3 linked regions of the Canis lupus familiaris genome follow. The protein of the gene in region 2 interacts with the protein of the main gene of each other region in a pairwise test. Links are inferred from orthologs where the notes say so. Each region holds a gene or a part of one and is shown on either strand. Other genes may lie near its edges.

Region 1 (3,568 bases), on a different chromosome or scaffold from region 2:
CCTGCTTGTCCTCTCACTCCTCCCCAGCCTCTGAGCTCTGGGGAAAGAGGCCCCACTCCCCACTTCACCCGGGGCACCCAGAAACAACCGCCTTGAAGGCAGACGCTCTTCTTGCTGCCTGACCCGAGCGCCACAAGAGCAGCACTCCCAGCCCAGGCTTTAAGCCAGGACCTCCTTCCCCTCCCTGCCCCCCTTACCTTCCACCTACTCACCTGTGCAGCCCCGGGAGGAGGGAATGGGGTGGGAGCCCAGGGGCTCCGCTGCCTCAACAGGTATCCATCAGTTCTGCCCAGCCTGGCCATAGCCAAGACCAGAACACACCACAGGGATGGCACAGGATGTTGGGGCAGGGAAATGAGCAAGGTAGGGGGTCAGGAAGAGGTGAAGGAAGAAGATGGAGAAGGAGAAGAAGAGAAAGAGAGAAGGGAGGATGGGGCCAAGGCCAGGGAGAGATGGGGACACAGAGGAGGGGAGAGAGTAAAAAGAAAGAAAGCAAAGGCCAAAGGAGGCCTTAGGAAAAACAAGGAAGAAAAAAGGGAAGAGGACACCCGACACAGCCTTTTCCTTCAGCTGCCCCTTCTTTCCCTGGTCCAAGGTACAGACGGGAAACAAATTCTCGCTGCGGCCGGAGGGCAGTTGCTGTTGGCCAGGTCTCTGTCTGCTACCTGGGTCCCAATCTGAGCTGGGCGTGGGATGTGAAGCAGCCATGGGGGCAGGAGACCTCCCTCAGGAGGGGTGAGGGTTCAGGCCCCTGCAGAGTTGGGGGGGTGAGGGTCTGTGCCCCACCTCTGTTGGCCCCCAAGTTCTCTCCTGATGGCCCCTCTGCGACTGTGCCTGTCTTAGGTTGTTCCTTCCCTGAGGAATCTTACCCGTCTCTGGCTAACCAGCCATCCTCCGGGGCCAAGCAGGGTGACGTGAGGTGTGCGAGTGAGGGCGGGGCAGCGCCCCCAAGAGGGTCAGTGCTCTGTCTCCTCCGCAGTCTATGCCCCCGTGGCCTCCACGCCCAGCACCTGCCTTGGGCTTCCCTCGCCTGCCGGCGGGGCCCCAGCTCTGCTCACACAGCTTGGGGAACCCAGGTTTCTTCTCCAGGGAGGGCCCAGCTCACACAGCTCCAGGCAAGAGAGACAGAATGCATGGCACCAGCTCCGAGGAGGCCTCAACCTCAGCATGAGGGAGAAAGCCCAGGCAACGGTGGCCTTGGGCACGTGGACCGTGAGAAGAGAGTCCCTCTTGGCCAAACGGCAAGAGGGGCTAGCGCAGAACAAAGAAGGAAAGGCCCATCAACAGGAAGTCCCAGGGCAGAAAGGCTTTCTCAGCCCTGGGACAGCAGGCTCTTGCATAAGGCAGCTCCATGTATGGGGCAGATGACAGATACCCCATGGTCATGCCACAAAGCAGGAGATGCCCTTCCTGGAACAGGAGAGTAGGGAGACTCTAGAAAAGGCTGTGTTTGGGAAGAGGAAAGACCACAGAACAGCAAACAGGTAGTCAGGTGAGAAGGAAGGTAAGGAGACCTCGGGGCCAAACTGGGACACACAGACAGACGAAGGGAGGAGCATGTGATCCTCCCAAAGGACAGGTGGTTCCAGCTCAGGGCTGCACATCTCCTGCAGACGGGCACTGGTCAGGGTACATTAGCTCAGCCTCCCAGGGGGTGAAGGTCCCCAGGAGGGGAGACAGAGGCTACAACTGACCTGATGTAGGTGGACTGATCTCGGAAGGTGTCGCACAGCGGGTTTCCGTCAAGCCACAGCTCTTCCAGCTTCAGCCCTTTTACCTTGTCCAGTTCCCTCTCAGATTTCAACTGCGGAGAGGAGGGCAGAGAGAGTGGGCAGGAGACCCCAATGAGGGAGCCGAGCCAGTGAGATCCCCACACCGTGCCTTCTGCTGTCAGCAGGCGAGCCCTCTGCACCCTCTACTCACCGCCCCACACAACATAACCAGACCCTCAGGTCTCACCTCATTTCCGGAGAGGTTGAGGATCTTCAGGTTGGGTGCTTTCTGCACAAGGCTGGACATGTCATCCAGCCTGTAGAGCCTATTGTTGCTCAAGTTCAAGGACAAGAGCTACAGGCAGAGAAAGGATTAGAGGAAGCACTGCCAACAAAGGATTCGGAGACACATCTGCCTCCTAGCCCCATTCTACCTGTCCCACTCTGCCTCCTCCCATCTCTAAGCAGGACAAAAGCCTCACCTCAGGGATATTCTCCTCAATGATTCGCAGCGTAGCCGCCATACAGCTCCTGCGATTCAGGACAACATCGATGTTCTGGGCCACCAAGTCTTCAGGCAGCATAAAGGAAAGAGAGGAAGTCTGAGAGGACTTTCCCACGTCAGAGTTCATACCAAACTATTCTCAAACTTTCCCCGCCCGACAGACCCCCCTCTGCCTCCACCTCTCTGAGAATGACCGCTGCTAGTCATACCTGGGTCTGAACGGAGACCCTTGAGGTCAAGTGCTTGTTGGGAACCATCGTATCGTTTGCTCATGATCAGCTACAGGAGAAGGAAAAGGGGTCAGCGGTCACTCGGGTTGTGCAGAGGGGTTGTGGATGTGAGAACTGGTGGAACTAGAGAGGAGACACATGACGTGAGCCTGCCTCACCTTTAGTTGCTCTACTTGTTCTGGCTTCAGTTCGTTCTGTACAGAATGGGGTGGGACAGAGGAGTTGATGATGATAGATATCTGCAGGGAAGACACAGAGAGCAAGGTGAATTCTGGGAAAGCCTAAGCCACAGGACCACGACCCAACTCCAGCCAAGCCAGGCCCTTTACACACACCCTTCGGTTTTCCTGATCCAAAATCTTATAGTTGACAGCTTTCAATGCAGAGGCGGTACTGGCATCCTCCACAAAAAACTGGGCCCGTGTGTTTTCATAGTGAAACTGCACAAAGAGGAAGAAACAAGAGCATGAGACTGGGAGCCTGGGGCCCCTGGTCCAGCTGGCCCCTCACCTTCCTTGGTGCCCAGTCAGCCACCTGGGCCTTATCTCACCTCAATGGGGGTGAAAGGGACACTGCACTTGCTCTGAATCACACTCAGGAGCCATGACTTGTCATATTTTCTCCCATAGGGAATCTAGATGAGAGAGAAGGAATATCATGTAATAAAGGCTGACCAACAGACTCAACCTAGTGCTCCTTTCACACCTTCTGCCAACTTCTATGACATTTCCTAAAGGAAGGGCCAGTTAAAAGTTTTTTTTTTTTTTACTCAAGTCAGACACAGATTCCTTACCTTCCTTTCTGCCCATTTAAACTTAGTATTTTTCAAGAAAATAGAACTATGTGGTTCCTTTTTTAAATTTAAGATTTCATTTATTTATTTATTTAACACAGAGAGAGAGAGAGAGAGAGAGAGAGAGCGCGCGCGCTCAATCAGGGGGAGGGGCAGGCAGAGTGAGAGGGAGAAGCAGGCTCCCTGCTGGGGTTTGATCCGAAGACCCTTGGATCATGACCTGAGATGAAGGCAGATGCTTAACCGACTGAGCCACCCAGGTTCCCCAAACTATTTGGTTCTAAAAGTTCTTAGATATGATTTAGACCTGGCCCACCCCTCAGAGAAC
Region 2 (4,295 bases):
ACATGGACCTGCTGCCGGGCCAGCTGCTCCTGGAGCTCCTGCACCTCCTGGCCAGGAGAGAAGGGATGCCAGGGCTTGGGGCCTAGGCTGCAACTGGCATTTCCCCACAATATCATGCCCTTGCCTGCCTGCCCCTTGGACATTGATGTTAGCTAAGGGAAATTGGGCAGTCCTATTAGAGGAAGTGGCATGGCCCAGGCCAGGGGAGGCAGAGGGTAGTTTGGGGGCCTCATGGTGTCCTCCTCCCAGGTTCCACCAGGCAGGAGCACTGAAAGTGTGCCTGTGTTCTTATGGAGAGCAACTGAGTCCCTGTGGTGTGGGTGTGTCTGCAGGGTCCCAGGTTCCATGGCATCATAGATTATGAATCTATAATCTGAAGTCAGATCTCAGTGGTGTCTTTTTAAAATGAGTGGCTCGGGCAGCCCTGGTGGCGCAGCGGTTTAGCGCCGCTTGCAGCCCGGGGTGTGATCCTGGAGACCCTGGATCAAGTCCCACATCAGGCTCTCTGTATGATGCCTGCTTCTCCCTCTGCCTGTGTCTCTACCTCTCTTGCGCCCTCTCTGAATAAATAAATCTTAAAAATAAATAAATAAATAAAATAAATAAATAAATAAAAATAAAATGAGTGGCTCGCATTTAAATGGAGACAGGTGGCAGTGGGGGTGATGTCAGAGAGACTATGTGACCTCAGCAAGTCACATATCTGGGCTTCGGCGTCCTCCTCTGTGAAAAGGAAATAATACCGGAAGGGTTCCTATCACACAGGGCTGTTGTGAAATAAAAAATGGGGTGGGGCACCTGGGTGGCTCAGTGGTTGAGCGTCTGCCTTTGGCTCAGGTCTTAATCCTGGGGTCCTGGAATCGAGTCCCACATCATGCTCCCCATAGGGAACCTGCCTCTCCCTTTGCCTATGTCTCTGCCTCTCTATGTCTCTCATGAAGAAATAAAATCTTTAAAAAAAAGGAGGGGGGGGCAACAAGTTCTGTTATAATTCTTAGTAAGTGGTGTGTGTCTATGGATTTCATCAGGGGCTAAGGATGCTCTCTTATCTCTCTGTCTGTCTCCCCTATGCTTATTTTCTTTCTGTCTGTCTCTGTCTCTCTATCCATTTCAATCTCTCTGAGGGCCTTACCTCATCGTGGATCTTCCTCAAAAACCGGATTTCCTCCTCTAGAGACTCAATCTTCCTCTCCAGATCCAGACGGGCTAAGGTGGCTTCATCTGCCTCCTGGAGCAGGGAGGGACGAAAGGCTGCTCTGACCCCAGACTCCTTCTCCCCACTCCCATGTCTTGTCTGGTCCCTCCTTCTGTGGCTGGGGAGAGCAGCACATTGCTCTGGAGGGCTGGGCTTAGGGGCTGTGTGAGTGAGCTGCCATCAACTCTTTACCCCCCTCCCCCATCCCTCCCCTCCACCCCCCTCACCTGTCGATAACTGGCCAGGTTGTTCTCAGCCTCCAGCCTCAGGTTGGTTTCATCCTGGAACCTGGGGTAGGGGGACACATTCCCGGGTGTCTGCCCCAATCTCCCTGGAGGTGGCTGCCAGAGAGACCCCCACCCCTACCCCTAGGCCCAGTGGAATGACAGGAGGAGTGAAGGGCAGAGGGTCCCAGACAGAGCCTTGGCCAGGAGGGTGAGCAGATAAGGGCCTGTGCTTTAACTCATTACTAAAGTGCTTTATCAAGGTTGGTGCACCTGCTCCTGCTCACACAGGCACTTTCACCAACATACACTCACTGCTGCATGCACACTCATCTTCCTGTACTTGAGGGCACACATGCCTGCCCTGCCAGCTCAGCAAAACGCCACGTCCCTGGGGTTTCCTCTGACCTTTGGAAATAGGTTTATTAGAATCTCTACTTCACAGCACTGCAAGCTAAAGTGGCTTGACCAGGATCATAAGCTGGTGACAGGCAGTATCACCTGTGTTTCCAAGCCAGGCTCACCTGCTCTTTTCCTCACCTCCTCCTTTGCCCCAGAGCCCCGTCCTCCTAGTGAACACCAATCTTCCCTTCCCATTTCTCCACTCCACGGGCTCTGCAAGGGCACCAGGCCCAGCGGCAGCGAATGAAACATGAAGACCCTGCCTATGGGGGTCCCTGACTGTTCCCACATGGCTTTCCCCAAAGGGGAGGTGCTGAGAGCACCGTGGCTCCTCTGCAAGAGGTCTTTGGGAGTCAGATCCTTGGGACTCGGCCTCCTCCCAGTCCCTCTCATCTTGGGGAGCAAGGACAGCCCTCCCCTCCCGGAGATGGGTAAACAGAGGAGCCAAGGATCACAGAGTCAGAGGCTCCGCCTGAGGTCCTGGGCCTGCGAGGGGCGGGCGTCTTCCCTGCTCCGGAGGTCCCTCACCCCGGGCCCCCTCCTCACTTCTGCCTCAGGGTGCCCAGGTCCTGTGCCAGATTGTCTCTCTCGACCTCCAGCCGGGCGCTGTTGGCAGTGAGTTGGTCTAGCCGCAGCCTTAGCTCTCGCAGCTCGGCCTGGTAGACGTCGGCCAGCTTGGTGGGCTCCTTGGCCCGCAGTTGGTTCAGCTCAGCAGCCAGAGCCTTGTTCTGCTGTTCCAGGAAGCGCACCTTCTCGATGTAGCTGGCAAAGCGGTCGTTGAGCTCCATCATCTCGGCGCGCTCGCTGGCCCGTGTCTCCTTGAAGCCGGCGTTGAGCGCCGCGGCCAGCGAGAAGTCCACCCGGGTTGGCGGCAGCGGCATCCGAGCCACGGAGGGGCGGGGGCCCGGCCCCAGACGGCGGCCGGAGCCCGGGCCTCCCCCCGCCATGTCCCACGAGGAGACGTAGACGTAGGAGCGGCGAGCGGCCGAGGCGACCCGTCTCCTCTCCATGCTGGCCCTGCCCGCTCCCGGGAAGTGAGGGCTTTATGGAGGCGAGGGCTTGCCTGGCACGGCCCCGGCTGCCCCTGGCAACGCCCCCTGGCATGGCCTGAGGGGGAGGGGCTGGGCCGCAGCTCCGGGGGGGCTCCTCTCACCCCACCGAGGTCACTGTGCCCAGGGGCTGGGCCTCGTGGGCACGCCAACCCCAGCCGGGTCACAGACAGAGGTGCTGGTGGGCGATGCCTGGGGCCTGATGCTCCATCTGCGGCCCTGACCACTTAGGCAAGGAGGCCCTTTCTCTGGGAAGTTGGGCCAAGAAAGGGCTGGATTAGATGACCTCTGACCCGCTTTCCACCGCTTTCCACCTCTTAGATCCCATAAAGCAGGCCTTCCCGGCTCAGCACTCCTCCTAGTGCCTGCTAAGTGCTGGAATTTGCGAACAGCAAATGTGTTCCATACTCTCAAGAAGCAGCCCGTGTTACAGTGCTGAGCCCCGATCCTAGTGGACTGTTGGACTTCTCTGCTCTGAACATAGGCGTCCTGCATTCCTGCTTTCTCCCCCTTCCCCGGAGGTCTGGGGCTGTGGGCTGGAACTGGATACCAGCCCTTTGTCTAGAGGGTCATTTGAGGCCTCTGTCCAGCAGGGGGTGGGGGGTGAAGGAAGGGACATAGAAGTTTTGAAGGGGCAAGAAGGGCAGGTGTTGGACTCCCTGGCCTTCTCCCTGGACCACACTTAAGCCCCTGCCTCTGTCCCACCAAGTTCACTTCCCCTGTGCCTGGCCTCTCTGTACCCCTGCCTAGAGCCCGGTCTAGACAGCTGCACAAAGCAGTTATAGATGAGCTGGCTGTCCCAGCTCCCATCTTTGTTGCTCCATCCCCCAGTTTCCCCACCACCCCTCACCTCACTTTCACACTGGAGATTTATATCCTTTGAGTTCCCACACATCAGGCTGAGAGGATGGGAAACGCCTCTGGGGATGGGTCATTTTGGGAACCCAGGAGCCACTGGGTCCATATTAGGAGCCCAGGCTGGCGTCTTGTAGCCTGACACTTCAGATCCATCCACCCTTCTCTTCTGATCCCATGGGGCCAGAGCCTCACCCAGGCCCCTCACCCATCTGTGTCCTTGGATTTCTGGGAAGCCTTCCTCTCCCCGCCCCACTGAGGCCAATGCCTGGGCCTCTGATCCCTTCTCCTGGACACTTGCTGAATAGAGCCTTGTTTTCCACCACTGGTCAGGGCGCCACATGGAGAGGGCAGCCCCCGAGGGGCTGTGCTGTTTTTATCCCAAGATGCCAGGCTGTTAGGCAGAGTACAGCCCAAGCCCCCAGCTCAAAGAGCTTCTCGGAAGCATCTGAGGGGGCCCCGGGGGCAGTGGGGAGCAGGCTCTGTGCCCACCCCCGACCATTGTGTCTGTGCCAAGGTGAGTCATTCAGTGGGCACAAGGCAAAGGCCCTGGTAGGGGGGCGGGGGCCA
Region 3 (3,568 bases), on a different chromosome or scaffold from region 2:
CTTCTATGAAAATGAACTCATGGGCAGCCCGGGTGGCTCAGCGGTTTAGTGCCGCCTTCGGCCCAGGGCCTGATCCTGGAGACCCAGGATTGAGTCCCATGTCAGGCTCCCTGCATAGGGCCTGCTTCTCCCTCTGCCTGTCTCTCTGCCTTTCTTCTCTCTCTGTGTACCTCATGAATGAATAAATAAAATTTAAAAAAAAAATGAACTGATGAAAAAAAAGAAAACGAAATCATGGAGTGTATTGTGTGAATAAATTGAGTAGTTTTTTATAAGTCCAGTTTTCTCAAAGGTATCTGTTAAAATTTCTGAAATGTAGTTACACAACATTTTTTTCAGTAATACATAAAAGTCATACTCAGGAAATCCTAAGAGTTATATTAAGGACCATTTTGCATCTGGCATTTCAAAACTGGCATAAACATGTTTTTCCGTATAGCTCTGTAAGGAAAGCTGATAGAATGGCACTCAGCCTATAAACCAGTAGTTGTACAAACTAATTTTATTTTTTTATTATTTTTTGAAAGTTTATTTATTTTATAATAAGGTCTACACCCAACATGGGGCTCAAACTCACAACCCCGAGATCAAGAGTCACACACTTTTACAACTGAGCCAGCCAGGCACACCTCATGCAAACTGATTTTAAACATATCACCATTAATTCCAATTTCCCAAGGAGTTCTTTCTTAGCTACTTCACTGAATTTACTGTAAATGTTAAGTTTTAATGTGTTATGTTCTCATACATTTTATAATACATAAGGAATGATTTTGTTTTAATTTGGTCTACCTAAAATCTTATCTTCGCTTAAATAAGGTAATACTTAATGTTTCAGTTAATACTTTTTATATGTCTTATGCTTGGGTTTTCATCATAAACATATAATCTGGTCCCTGTATTCATATTTTGAAAGGTATTTCCCTTCTTTAAAAAAAAAGAATTTAAAAAATTCTTTACAAATACTTTAGCATCTAACTTGAGTATATTTTTCTTTTGATTCCAGTAATTCTTCATTCCTATGAAAAACTTCCCACTCTCCTTTTTCCAAAACCTTCCACTTCCAGTCATTCTAAAATAAAGGAATGAGTAAGAGCAGAGTTCATCTATAATTAAAAGATCTGTTAGTTCATGTAATGCCAACCACCACCCCAGCTTATCTGAGGTCAGAGTAGTTACACACCTAGTTTATATTTCCTCATTATTGAGTTTCCTTGGAGACTGATAAATACAAAGCCCAAACAATTACATCATCCTTCCCAAAGGCAGGCCCTGAATTAACCGCCTGACTTCTGGACAGACCAGTATTCACATGGGGTTAGAGATATTCCTTTTATGTACAAAACAGATACATTCTCAGAAGATTCTCTATAAAGTGAAAACTCAGAATTTCCAACTGGGATAATTTTCTGTTGACGTCCGTTCTAATTGAAAAGGTGTTTCTAGGGAGGGAGAAGGGACCCAACACTGGTTGAATGTCTGCTACGTGCCAGTCACTGTGCTTGGTATGCTAGTATGTCACACCAAGTCCTTATGGACAAGGTTTTATTTACTTCATTGTAAAGATGAGAAATGGGTTCAGAGGGATCCCTGGGTGGCGCAGCGGTTTGGCGCCTGCCTTTGGCCCAGGGCGCGATCCTGGAGACCCGGGATCGAATCCCACATCAGGCTCCCGGTGCATGGAGCCTGCTTCTCCCTCTGCCTGTGTCTCTGCCTCTCTCTCTCTCTCTCTGTGACTATCATAAATAAATTTAAAAAATTAAAAAAAAAAAAAAAAAAAAGAAATGGGTTCAGAGAGCTAGAACTTGCCCAAAGCCAAACAGGAAGTGATAGGAAAATTGAGTGGAGACAGAAAAATAGGAATCTTCCTTGGAATCTTCCTTGGTGCTCAGCATCCTGCTCTGAGGAACTGCTGCAGAGAGAGAGAATAGAACTGCGACTATGGCTGTGTCTGTGTGTCTATCCCACGCTGCCCTGACGTGCATGCACCAAAGTCCCGAAGCCACCACCAATCTACAAATCCACCGCTGATCTACAAATCCCCTGCTGTTAATGACTATTCCTCAGGGGTTGTCATTCCGTAAAATTCACTTAACCATGCTTTGGTTACTGCTGAAGTTACTCTCCTAACTAATTAGACCTCCCCCTTTATGAAGGATCTGTGTGTACTTTGCTTTTGTCCAAGGTGGACAAAGTGAACTCAGCCTTCATTTCTACATTAAAACCTCACTGTTTCCAACTGGTTAAAAAGGAAGCCTATCTGACTAGTGAAAAAGAGATTGCAATCAAAATATTTTCTTGTGGTCTTTTATTTTAAATCAGTACATTGTGAAGTAGGCCATTACTTTTCATCATAGTGTTTTTAAGAAGGTACAAAAGACTTGAAGTTTTGGCAAAAAAGAGAGAGGGAAAAAAAAAGGAAGAGCAACAGAAGACCAGAACTCTTTGGGGGCCAGTTGTTATGGGCCTCGGTGTTAAGAAAGAGAACAGGGTTCAGGAAAGTTCTGTATTGGGGAACACAGAAAACATGGTGCATGTTGAGTTTAATAGCTGCACCGTCCGTGTAGTCGGGTTGGTCCAGAATATTTGTGCGGAAAAAGCATCTTTCCAGTTGGATTGTCAGAAAAGCCATGATTTTTAAGAACAGGAATGTTAGTTTAAAAAGTGTGTGTGTAAGTGTTTGCAAAGAAGCTCTGGGCTGTTGTAGTGGCAGGAATTACCCAGGGCTCCTGGCAGCCCGGGGAGGGGTGGAGGGCACCGGCTCACGTTCTGGGAGGGGCCGGGTGCAAGGAGCTCCTGGACGTGCCCCTCTAACCGGTAGCTCCAGCCTCTAGCTCCAGCCTCTGCCTGCCCAGCCGAGCCGTGGCCTTCTCCTGCAAGCAACCACAGACCCTGAGCTCCTTCTACCCCTTCCTGCCAGAGCACCAAGCCACCTCTGTCATCTCAGCAGCTGCTTTGCCCGGTGGCCTCACAGGCTTCTTATCTTGCTTGTCTGACCCACTGGATCCTAGCTAATTTGTTTCCACATTTTATCGTTTCCTGCTCCACACTGACCCAAGCGACTGCCTGTTCTTCTCCTCCTTGTACCGTAATCCCTCTGGAATGTGCCCTGAAAGGGTGTATCAGCTCCAGCTTGAATCATGACAGCCCAAGGCACCTGGGGGTGTCGTGCCCACGGGTGCCCAGCTGCAGATCAGGCCTGACTGGGCCCCAGGGAAAAAGGAGAAGCCGGAGCTGGTGTGCGACCCAGGGCCACTGTAGCTCATCAGAACACCTTTCTTTCTTTCTGCATTCAGCCTGCACTGTCCCTCGAGGGGTGTGCACCAAGCGCCTCCTTGATTTCTCTTCTGATCTCTGCCGACAGGAGGTCCTGCACATAGGAAGCGCCCACAACCGGAGTGCCATGCCCTTTACCGCCTCGCCGGCCTCCAGCTCTGCCCCCAGGGTCATCACAAACCAGTACAACAACCCAGCTGGCCTCTATTCCTCTGAAAACATATCCAACTTCAACAACGCCTTGGAGTCAAAGACAGCAGCCAGTGGGCAGGAGACAAATGGCAGAGCGTAA

Evidence for each region. The genes of interacting proteins can lie anywhere in the genome.
Region 1: the proteins of GFAP (region 2) and NXF1 interact in a two-hybrid assay, tested with the Homo sapiens proteins (3 studies listed by BioGRID and IntAct). The two-hybrid records come from large-scale screens. The link is inferred for Canis lupus familiaris from reciprocal best matches to the Homo sapiens genes GFAP and NXF1.
Region 3: the proteins of GFAP (region 2) and PDLIM1 interact in binary tests that used the Homo sapiens proteins (3 or more experiments, as listed by UniProt). The link is inferred for Canis lupus familiaris from reciprocal best matches to the Homo sapiens genes GFAP and PDLIM1.

Annotation. Positions count from the first base shown.
Region 1 is NC_049239.1:54,407,266-54,410,833, reverse strand, and holds part of NXF1 (nuclear RNA export factor 1), read right to left. Parts: intron 3,082-3,568; coding exon 2,998-3,081; intron 2,888-2,997; coding exon 2,783-2,887; intron 2,687-2,782; coding exon 2,606-2,686; intron 2,497-2,605; coding exon 2,427-2,496; intron 2,284-2,426; coding exon 2,195-2,283; intron 2,068-2,194; coding exon 1,960-2,067; intron 1,805-1,959; coding exon 1,695-1,804; intron 1-1,694.
Region 2 is NC_049230.1:18,455,349-18,459,643, reverse strand, and holds the start of GFAP (glial fibrillary acidic protein), read right to left. Parts: upstream 2,858-4,295; 5' UTR 2,832-2,857; coding exon 2,368-2,831; intron 1,484-2,367; coding exon 1,423-1,483; intron 1,229-1,422; coding exon 1,133-1,228; intron 48-1,132; coding exon 1-47.
Region 3 is NC_049249.1:8,975,482-8,979,049, reverse strand, and holds part of PDLIM1 (PDZ and LIM domain protein 1), read left to right. Parts: intron 1-3,364; coding exon 3,365-3,564; intron 3,565-3,568. UniProt on the Homo sapiens protein: Cytoskeletal protein that may act as an adapter that brings other proteins (like kinases) to the cytoskeleton. Involved in assembly, disassembly and directioning of stress fibers in fibroblasts.